Caenorhabditis elegans: one gene and its partner. The protein of the gene in region 1 interacts with the protein of each later gene in a pairwise test. Each region holds a gene or a part of one and is shown in the gene's direction. Other genes may lie near its edges.

Region 1 (5,020 bases):
AAATTTTTCTAGAAATTTCAGGGATTCAAAATTGTTTTATCAATGAGAATTGAGATATAGAATTTTAGTCGAACATTATTTTTTTTGTTCTTTCTGGAAAGAAAAATGCAACATTATTTCTCTTTGAAACCATTTTGATATTTTTTCAGCTGAATCCTCCCTCATATCGTTTCCTATGTGAAATTATGCTTATTTTTTGCTTGTAATTTATTCGATCGATTTTTAATGTAATAAATTCAACAAATTTGTATTTAGAAAATGGCCGCCCGAAACGCAGGAACCGCCCGGCCTGGAGGTCCAAACAGAACGTGCCAGTTCAAACTCGTTCTTCTCGGAGAAAGTGCTGTAGGTGAGTTGATACTGAAAATGGAAAAAACCGCTAAAGGTTGGAGTAGAAAATAAAAGCAAACAAGAACAGTTTTCCAAAAAATAAAGATTTTTTTATTCTACTCCGTTCTGTCTGTAGCATATTTCGCAGTTGCTGAAAACCGTCACAAAATTTCGAAATTGCGTTGATTTCGAAGTTTAATTCTTCGTCTTTTGATTGTTTATATGTTTAGAATTATGGGTCATCTGATAGTTGCTAGCATATGACGTATATGCTCTCTTATTTCACCTAAACATCACAGAAAACTATCATTTCAGGCAAATCATCTCTCGTATTGCGATTCGTCAAGGGACAATTTCACGAGTATCAGGAGTCGACTATAGGTGCTGCGTTCCTCACTCAAACTGTGAGTTTTTGAATTTTTTGTGAAAATATAACAATTTTCCCTAATTTGAACAAAAATTTTGACTAAAATGAAAAATCTCGAATTTTAATAATATATTGTTTTTTAATAATATAATTGCGGAGATTTTTGCTCGAAAAACACGGATTTTATATTGAAAGACGTAAAAACGTTAATAATTAAGAATTGAATTTTCGAAATTTCAGGTGTGCCTTGACGATGCAACAATTAAATTCGAAATCTGGGATACTGCAGGACAAGAAAGATATCATTCATTGGCACCAATGTACTATCGAGGAGCTCAAGCGGCTATTGTTGTCTACGATATTACCAATCAAGAATCTTTCCAAAAAGCGAAAAATTGGGTAAAAGAACTGCAGCGACAGGCATCTCCAAATATTGTGATGGCATTGGCTGGAAACAAGGCTGATGTTGCCAATAAGCGAACTGTTGAGTATGAAGAAGCTAATGCTTATGCTGAGGACAATGCTCTCTTGTTCATGGAGACATCTGCGAAGGTACATTAGAAAATTTGGATTTTGACAATAAAAACATGTTAACAGAGTACTGAAATAGATCAAAAACTAAAATTGTTATTAAAAATAACAATAAACTTTGTTTTCTGCGAAGATAGTTTTTGAACTAATCTCCATTAAAAAATGAATGAGAAATTTAAGATTTCCAATTTAAAATCAATTCTCTATTTATTTAATTACAGACCTCAATGAACGTGAACGATATTTTCATGGCAATAGCTAAAAAGTTGCCAATCGGACCAGCACAGGGTGAACCAACGGGAACTGTCGATATGAACCAACCACAACAGCAACAAAAGGGTTCATGCTGTAAATAAATTGACGACTTTTTCATGTACCATCAACCCTTCTAGCTCCGCTCCTCTTTTGTTCTATATATCTTTTGAATCCAACGCCTGTGATCGTCGTCATTGTTTTCCCCTCGAAAAAAAAACACTTTTGAACAAGTTTTTTGTGCTCGCTTTCTTTATTTATTTTCACTCTTTTAACCCATATTTTCTCATTTTTTGTATATTTCTGACTAATGTTCAGCCAGTGAATGAGCTTGCACAATTGGCTCTGCCCATTTGCTTTTTATATGCGAAAACTCCCATTTTTTCATTCAAATGTTCCAATTATTTATTGCTTCTCACCATCAACATCCAAGTCCCGAACCCCACCATCCCACTGTTAGTACTTTTCTCGTCAAAGTTTCACCACCTTTTTGTCAATTTTTTTTCAAAATTTTATAGCATCCTTTCAGAATCTATCCGAATAAATTGAAGTTCGAAAATGTATATACTTGGTAACACAAAACCCTTCGTATACGATCGATATTAGATATTGAATTCAATTTTCTGAAAAACAACAAGGTGAGAATTATTTGAAGAATACAAATGTCCGATCAACCTGGAACAAGTAGACCGCCTCTTCGAGCAGAACCAACGCCCACAAAAAGTAAATGCTTTTCAAATCAATTGAATTCAAAAGAAAGTTAAATTTAAAAATTAAATAAATTTACTTTAAAATATACAAAATCATCTGAGATTTTTTAATTTTTTTAAATTTTTACATTCATTTTTTAAATATGTATCTGATTTTTTTTTCGAAAAGCAATGAAAAAGTATGGAAAATTATTTGAAACTACAGTACTCTTTAAAGGCGCGCACCTTTTTATATTTAACAATAATTTGTCGTGTCGAGACCGGGTACCGTGCCTGTAGTGAAAAAACACAAAGAAAATAGTTCTGTAATTTTTGTCATCAATTTTAGCTTTTTAAATCAAACTTTCTAGTAGGAACTTTGAATTTTTAATTTTCAGCTGCAACACGTCGACGTGCCCGTCCAATTGCAATACCATCAGATGAAACTCCACGGAATGAGGTTACATTCCTAAGACCATCAGAAGTTCCACAAAGAAAACCACTTCCAGAATATCGAGAACCACAACCACGAAAAACGTAGTCACATTTAAAAAAATCATTCTTAATTTTTAAAACATTTTCAGAGTTCCAAAGAATGTTCCACTTGAAGATCTTCATAATTATCATCGGGAGGAGTGTCTAAACGTTAGCATTCCACATTTTATAAATACAGAAGATCTTATCAAAGAATCTCAACGTGTCAATGGTCTCATTTCATTTCGAAGCACAAATTTTGTGGATCCTTCTGTTATTTTGAAGGTTTTTATTTAAATTATTATTTATTTATTTGTTTTAGATTTTAACGAGAAAAAATCAGCCAAAAACGCATCTGGATATTTTTTTCAAAAATTATTTTAATGAGAAAAATATGAAACAAATATTTTTTAAAAGAGTATTGAGAAATGACCTAACATTTTTTTGCAAAAAAAATCAAACTGAAAATTGTTGCTCTCCAAAAATCAGAACCCACTTGAAGTCAGAAATATAAATATTTCTCCTAATTAAAATTATTTTTACAGGAAATAAAGAAAAAAGAAGAGGAAACTGTAACATTAATGGACAACGACAAAAATTCTATAATAGACATAGTTGGAGATGGAATAAACTACGAAAAATTGAAGAAAGTCGAGAAATCCCTCTGCCAGATTGATATTATCACCGAATTTATGAATAGAAGTCGACATTTACAAGGAAAAAAAGTCAACGGATGCATAATGAGAATCGACGTACGGTTTATGGTTTTTGGAAAATTTCAAAAAAAAAAATTCAAAATGGATTGACATTGCCTGACTTTTCCACCACAAGAAAATGTCAAATTTAAAATTATTTTTTCGGATTTTTTTGTAGAATAATAATAATAATTTTAAGTGATAAAATTACTAAATATCATAGTTTAAAGTTTCAAAAAAATTTTAATGCGATTTCTATTTTTTTTTTAATTTTTAAGAGTTCGGCTATGATATTTAATTTTTTTAGAATATTTTGAGAGTACTTATAAATTTATGCAAAATACCTCTAAAAATAACAAGAAACAGTAAACATTATATTTTTCGCAATAAACAGTTTTTTAGCCAAATCTGAGTCGACTTTCTGTTTTTAAAAAATTTGAGTAACTTTTCAGGAAACGAAACAATTATTATTTCATGTAATAATTGATGGACCTGTTGGAAGTATCTATGAAGGTGGAACATTTTTTGCCGATATTAACATCCAACCATATCAAAATCATTCATTGATTCCAAGAGTTTGTTTTCACACATTTATATTTCATCCGAATCTTGGGAAATATGGAAACGTAAGTTTAAAAACCTAATTTTGAAAACATTTAAATTTTTTGCAATTATTCAGTGGGACATGCGTGGAATTCAATGGGAACGACGATCCAATTTGGAAGTTTTATATAATTTTATTGTGGAAGGAATGCGAAATGTGAAATATGATATTGGTAAATTCTTTCTACATTTATAAGACATTTTAAACTACTTGGCTATCTAAATATCAACTAAAAAATTAAATTATGAACTCTTCCAGAACGTAGAAATCTTGCTCAATTGGAAGATATGTCACAACCGAATATCTCGCGGCTTGCTAAAGAGGATTGGCCGAAATTCGAGCGTACAGCCCGGGAATTTGTAATGAAAATGGCCGGAGGAACTATAAACGGACGCAAGACAATTTTTGCTGAAACAAAAAAAAGGAGAAGACAAGATTTTCTTGATGAAGACATTGATGTCATTGGAATTTCATAGTTTTCTGTTTTTTTTAAATAAACAAAAAATGTTAACCATTATTTATTGGTTCTTAAAATCACTTTAAAAATTCAAATACAAACAATCAAAAAGGCACATGAAGGTTTTTAAAAATCACAGACAAATTCAGAATAAGAATACAAGAAAAATATAGTGTCTCCCGACTAGTTAGTATTATGGAGTTTCTGGAACTCATTCATCCACGTGGCAAGTACTTGTGTCTCCTCGACTGAGATGGCATTATAGAGCGATGCACGGATTCCACCAACTGATCTATGTCCCTTTAAACTAATCATATTTCGTTCAATAGATCCTTTCAAGAACTTCTCCTCAAGTTCATCGTTTCCAGATGGACCGCCAATTCGGAAGCAAACATTCATAATACTACGGTAGCGTTTGTCAACGGCGCAGTGATAAAAACCATTTGAATTATCAATTATATCATAAATCATTCCAGATTTTTGAAGGTTTAGCTCATAGATTGCTTGAAGTCCACCTTTTGATTTTATCCATTTGAGAACGAGATTTGTTGTGTAGATACCTCCAGTTGGTGGTGTATTATACAAACTATTATTTGCAATCATTTCTTTATAACTGAAGAC
Region 2 (6,513 bases), on another chromosome or scaffold:
ACCAGCTACAGTAATTATAACCATCAAAGCAATACTGAGAAGTAGTAATTTAAATTGACTTTATGGGTCTCACCACGATGTACTGAATGTAGCACAGAATATAGAGTTGTTGTATTAAATATAAGGGGTTTTCATGTCAATTTGATTCTAAAAACTCATAAATATTTTCGAAATATTAAAGACAAGCTTCACGTAACTGCAAAGGATAAGAAAGACGAAATGGTTCAAGCTGGTGCAAGTGAGATTGATCCTCAACAATGGACTGGAAATCAAAGAGTTCTTCATTTTGGACCAATGGCTCAACGTGATCCATATTTCTATTATTATCCAAAAGGATGGGATATATTGTATCCAGCAACATTTGGATTTTTTCCATATAGAACATCGTTAGTTTTTTGATAATTGAAACTGTAAGCTGGAAATATGAGGGTTGAATAGCTCAACTAAATAACTCGTAGATTATAATTTAATGGAGTATGTCCTAATACATCATATTCAACGCGAAAATTCAACAGAGACGCAGAAAATATACATCAAGTTACTTTATCAAAAATTTAAAAAAAAACCCTGAAAAAAGCATTATTTTTTAAAGAAAATTTCGTGGCTCGTCATCATTGATTTGTTGTACAGCATTCGGCGTTTTTCTCCTAATTGGAGGACTACTAATGTCACTTCTTGGATATAAATACCTTTATACTTCACCATTCTGGACTTGGCCATACGAACAAAGAATACGACCACCACCAATTCAAATTGCGGGTCCTATTTTATTTGGACTCGGATGTTCGTTTTTGATAATTTCATTAATCTACTTTTTATGCACAACAAAGCTCTGTGATCTCTCGTTACACCACACAAAGAAGCACAATGATCCTGCTAGGCTTACGACTATTACAACACATTATGTGGTAAGTCTTTTTGATTAATTGAAAATTCAAATTCAATTAGAAACCCACATGTCCTTGTAAAAGTTGCGACTACACCTTTGAAAATTTCATGAAAGTAATATAAACAATTAAAGCTAACAAATTAACGTCTAAACAAACTCAAAATGATCGTACCATAATTTAAAAAAAACTATTAAAACATTTTAGATTTCTGAAAATGGCATAGTTTTGGTAAATTGCCAAATTAACCGAAACAGCAATGTGTTTGAAACCTTACAAGGCTTAGATACAGTTCACTAGAACGAAGAATGTAGGTAATAATGCGTATCAATTCAAAATCAAAATGTACCCATTTTAGTTGTTACACGTTTACAGCCGCTACCTCCGATCTTTGAGAAAGATCCATATCAACCTCTACCTCCACCTGCGTACCCAGTTCTTGAGAATCGACACGCAATGTCTAATGTAGTTAAGCCACACGATGAAAAGAAACTGTATCCACCAGTGTAAGAACTTCATTCAAACCGGAACAAGATTCTGTAAATCTATAATTTCAGAATTCCTGGATGTTCCACACTTTCCCTTCATAGACGATCTCCGAATAACATTTTTGTAGCAAGTCCATATAATACCCTAAGAGCTACAAGCGTTGGAAGATATCAATCTGGATTCCTTGACACGAATTCAATAATGGAAAATCGGTTAGGATCAAGGCAGCCGTCAGTTGCAAGTAGAAGACAATCAAGTGAAGCTTCAAGTCAAAAAAGATCCAAATCAATGGGACCTTTACATCGAACTAACTCCAATCGAAGCAAAGGATCAGGAAGATCAAGAAGGAGAGAAAATAGTCAAATATAGACATTGTTTTATGATGTTAACCAGATTTATATTGTTTTTTTTTAATTTCAAAATTCTGTATCCACAAAGATCAACCGAAAAGGAGATGAATAATTTGTAGATATTTTAAAATATTTATCTACAATAATATTTTCCATCAACCAAATAAAAAATTCGACCTTCGCCCTTTGTATGTCTTCCTCTCGTTTCCCATTTTTCACTGCGTCTCAATCGCTGCTGACTCATATCTGATTGACCTCACTGTTTCTTCCAATTTCCTTGGTCACTGATAATTATACTTCCGTCTTTTTTCAGTTTTCTCCAGTATTTTTATCATAACATATACTCAAAATCAATCAATACAGGAACGTCTAGTCTACAACTTTATTATAATAACAGGTGAGATATTTTGTTTTTGGTAAACTTCATAATAGTGGAGCGCTGAACAAAAGACGAATTTTCTGATAATTTAAAATTGAAATGAAATATATTATTTACCCTTTATAATTAACTTTGTTTGAACCTAAATATTGCTCATATTCGAACAAACACTGTACACTTTTTTACGAAATTCAAAGAGACGCTACTCAGTAAATAAACAAGAAAATATAAAACAAACTGTAGTGCTCATCTCAATTTAACTGAGCTCACAAGTATTTCACCGATTTTATTAATTACAATTGATTGAGCACCCGAATCTTTTACATAATTTCATGGTAGTTTTGCACCTTTTTTGCATAATTCCTCTTATGGGTCTCGCCATCAGAAAAAGTTCTGAGAATTTTTTATGATCCCTCCATTCCACAATTAATGAAAAAATATTTTGAAAATTTCACAAAAATAGACAAAAACGAATAACATTTAAATCTGACTCTTTGAGACCCAATTCAAAAATATCCATGTGTCTTTAAGTACGCGTTACAAAAATTGCGAGAGAACAATTACTAACAGTTCAAATGTAAATAGATATTGTTAGTAATTGCCAAAACTATGGGAAATTCTTCTATTTAATCTTCATTGATTGAGTTGATTTTTTTGTTGATAAATTCAAAATTCCTAATATTTTCTAAAATATCGAATTTCCTAAAGTTATAGTGAATCCGAAAACCTCCAAAAGAAAACAAAGTAGTGACCATAAACAATAAAAAAATCATTGTTTCACAATTTTTACACTTCACTCCGCAAAAATATAGGTCGCTTGAGTGTTCGAGTTTACATGGCGTGTTTCGCAATAAAACTTTCATTTTGAAATCCCCGACACTCCTCTAATTTCCCCCGACAACGCTTTTCGTTATTGATTTTTTCACTTCAAGCCCTAACTTGAACCCATTTAAATTTACAGATGGCGTCAGTCCCATCGTCATCTAGTCTCCCAGTGTCGCATGTCCGTCGTCATGAAGACGTGTCAACACCAAGTGCACCACCAACCAAACGAAGTAATAATCAATCTCAACCTCCAGAAAGCTACGAACCCAACACCTGGTTGCAACAACAACGAGAGCAGGAACAACAGAAAAAGTTAGCTGCAGAGAATATTAAGAAGCAGAGTATCGAAGCAACGGGAAACAACGAGATGGTTGGGGAGGAGGAAGAGGTGAGGGAGAAAGATTTTAGATTTCGTAAGTTGACGAAAGTCAATCCGCGCGTTTTGTTGATATGCGGAGAATCATAAAAATGATAAAGGTAAAGCTTCAGTATGACTTTAATCTAAGAAATCGACCTTAATACTCTAAAAAGGATGGAAATAAAACATTCCATAATTAATTTTTTTATAATTGTCAAAGTTTCAAAACTAGCTTAATATTTGTAGAATTGACTAGAATTGACATTTTCAGAAGAATCTAACCCCGCGCACGCATAGCTCATTTTTTGAGAAGTTTTTTCTACAAAAATTGCAACACAAAATTATTGCGCCGTCTTATTTCCAAATGATAAAATTGGCACGTGTACTAGAGACCAAACCAAATAGGAAACTGGCTATGTAATGCCTCAGAAATTTAGCTTTACAGAAATAAACATTGTTGACAATATTGCAACCATAGGTATTCCAAAATCTTAATCATCATTATATTTTCAGGATATTCTCTCAAAACCATGTGGTCCACACAAACGACGATTCCAATTTGTGATGATCCGTAACATTACATTTGCAATTCCGGAAGGCTATGACGTCGAGCCAAACAGCATTGAGTATTTGGGTGGAGGCTCGTTTGGAAATGTTATGTATGTTTTTCAGTATTTGTGTGCTTTATTTGAATGATTATATTTTCCAGAAAAACAAGTGCAGTGTGCCGTGACGGGCTTCGTCGTTATGTTGCAATAAAGAAGATGCGAGAACCGTTCTTTGATCCACATCATGTAAGACAAAGATACATTTTTATTGAAGCTAGAGCATATTTTTTACAATTCAAATGAACTAATATCGTATTAAAAATTTTCGAACTTTTTCTATGTACAGTCAAGAAGTGGTGATTCAAAATTTTGGGGCAAAACCAGAATTTTAAAACTAATCTTGTTTTCTGTTTTCGTCTTTTTTTTTGTTGGAAAATTGCCAAAACTTTAGAAGAACATTTCAAAAAGCTGATATTTGGTTTTTATACCCATTTTTGAGAATATATTTGGTCGATCACATCCTTTGAACACCTTAAACTTCCAGGCTCGTCGCATCTTCCGTGAAACAAAACTTCTTCAATTAATGAGACATGACAATATCATCTGTGCTCTTGACATCTACACACCTGACGAGGAAAACGATTTTCGAGATGTGTAAGTAATTACAAAAAAGTTTTACAAACAATCTATAATTTTCAGATACGTTGTCACTGAATTTGCGGGTCGTAGTCTTTATCAGATCTTGAAGCAACAAAGAGATTATGGACGGCGCGTGCTGACCGACGAGCATATCAAATTCATCATTTATCAAATCATACGTGCACTTAAGTACATTCATTCTGCTAATGTAAGTCAATGGAGTTAGTGAACAGAACATTGCTCATTCTTTTTTTTTTAATAGAAATATCAGCATTTTAGATTAAATAAAATTTCATATAGGAGGATTAGGCACGATTAGGCCATAATTAGTCAAAAAGAACATGACTAAAACACGAAAATATATTTATTAAAATTTTTTAGATTATACATCGTGACTTGAAACCAGGAAATCTCGCGTTGACCGATGATTCTGACCTCATGATTCTCGATTTTGGACTTGCAAGATCCTTGGAAAAGAAAGATACTTCTCTAACACAATATGTACAAACAAGATGGTACCGTAGTCCAGAAGTCATTTATTGGAAGATTGATAGTTACACAAATCTGGCAGATATGTGGTCACTTGGATGTATTGCTGCAGAACTTTTAACTGGAGAACCACTGTTTCCGGGTGATGAGCCCAATGCTCAATATCAACGTATTACTCAATTATGTGGAAGTCCTGATGAAGAACTTTTGACAAAGATTGAAAATGATAACTCGTCTGCAATTAAAGCCGTAATTCAATCCTACACAACTCACAAACGTCGAAATTTCCGTGATGTATTTTCTGCTCATAATCCATCAGAAGACTTTATTGATCTACTTGAGAAGCTTTTAGTTTTGGATCCAGAGAAGAGGATTACGGTGGAAGAAGCTATTCAACATCCATATTTGGCAGAGTTTTCACTTCCAGAAGATGAACCAAGAGCTGATCATATATTTGACTTGGATGACTCTCAAGCTAGAACAAGATTCGAGTGGAGAGGTAAGGCTCAAAGATCACGTAATAGAATTCTGCACACCTGCAAATTTGAAAAACAACAAATGCAAAAATATTTTATTACAGATGCCGTCTGGAAGGAAATAATGAACTACAAAAGACTCAGCTCATCACCGTTAATCCCTGGAGAAGCAGATCGCTGATTTCATTCAATTATATTAATTGTATATAATTCCGGAAATGTATTACTTCTTTTCCCTCTCTCTTTCTCGTCTCTTTGTCGTTCAGTGATAGCAACACTTTACAGGTGATAATGATGTTTTCCATCTTCTCTTTCAAATTCTTTCAGAGTATTTATTTTCTTGCATTCTATAGCTTCTTCCTTTTATGTCTCTGTCTCCTTCTCTCTTTCTCTTTACTTCTCCATTTCTCTGAATCTCTTTGTCTCGTTTTTCTCTCATGCTTTTATCCCATCATATTTTTTTATATTCGTCATTCTTGTCATTGCACCCTTACACATACTAATTAGTTCAATAAACTTATTTTCTTTTGACAATTCGTTTTAAAAGCTTGAAGTGTTTTATAAAAAAGAGATTGGTTCTAATCCGTGTCACTCATATTTTACACGAGCTTATATGTTTAAAGTGAGATTATCTGAAAATTTCTGGAATTTTTTTAATATAAAAAGCATAGTTTGACTTGACAAAGTTAATCCTGAACTTCAGCTTAAAACGTTTATTCAATTAGCAGAAAAATTCAAACATTTAAAAAATGTGAAATAAGATTGAATTATTATTTTGGAATACCTATGTAGGCAATTGTCTGCCCTTTTTCGAAATATTAAAACTTTCGTGCAAAAATGTAAAAATTATATTTACAAATTCAATTCAAACTTTTTCTAGATGTCTTGTTGATGGGGATGTCGGCGACCATGGGCGATTCAGCCAGCATTCCCGGTGTCTTTTTTGCCGATTTTGGTCCTGCCCCGCCTGAGATTACTCCAGAAGGATATCATGAGGTATAGTTACAGAAGAAGATTTTTTATAGTGTAGTGAATATTGTCTAAATATACTAGAATGAGCTAAAAGAAATTTT

What was found.
Region 2: the proteins of uev-3 (region 1) and pmk-3 interact in a two-hybrid assay, tested with the Caenorhabditis elegans proteins (one study listed by BioGRID).

What each region holds. Positions count from the first base shown.
Region 1 is NC_003279.8:9,308,187-9,313,206, forward strand, and holds uev-3 (Ubiquitin-conjugating enzyme E2 variant 3), read left to right. Parts: upstream 1-2,132; 5' UTR 2,133-2,142; coding exon 2,143-2,203; intron 2,204-2,567; coding exon 2,568-2,706; intron 2,707-2,753; coding exon 2,754-2,928; intron 2,929-3,188; coding exon 3,189-3,395; intron 3,396-3,790; coding exon 3,791-3,964; intron 3,965-4,017; coding exon 4,018-4,114; intron 4,115-4,200; coding exon 4,201-4,418; 3' UTR 4,419-4,451; downstream 4,452-5,020. Other genes in the region: rab-5 (small monomeric GTPase), read left to right, coding at 259-349, 646-734, 938-1,249, 1,450-1,584; F26H9.5 (putative phosphoserine aminotransferase), read right to left, coding at 4,583-5,020.
Region 2 is NC_003282.8:8,137,180-8,143,692, forward strand, and holds pmk-3 (Mitogen-activated protein kinase pmk-3), read left to right. Parts: upstream 1-2,039; 5' UTR 2,040-2,123; intron 2,124-3,066; coding exon 3,067-3,318; intron 3,319-3,801; coding exon 3,802-3,947; intron 3,948-3,997; coding exon 3,998-4,082; intron 4,083-4,380; coding exon 4,381-4,490; intron 4,491-4,535; coding exon 4,536-4,683; intron 4,684-4,856; coding exon 4,857-5,463; intron 5,464-5,544; coding exon 5,545-5,621; 3' UTR 5,622-5,972; downstream 5,973-6,513. Other genes in the region: islo-1 (Interactor with SLO-1), read left to right, coding at 182-386, 593-908, 1,263-1,393, 1,445-1,745; Mitogen-activated protein kinase pmk-2, read left to right, coding at 6,332-6,436. UniProt on the Caenorhabditis elegans protein: Responds to activation by environmental stress and pro-inflammatory cytokines by phosphorylating downstream targets. Involved in axon regeneration after injury, probably downstream of dlk-1 and mkk-4 and upstream of mak-2. May phosphorylate mak-2.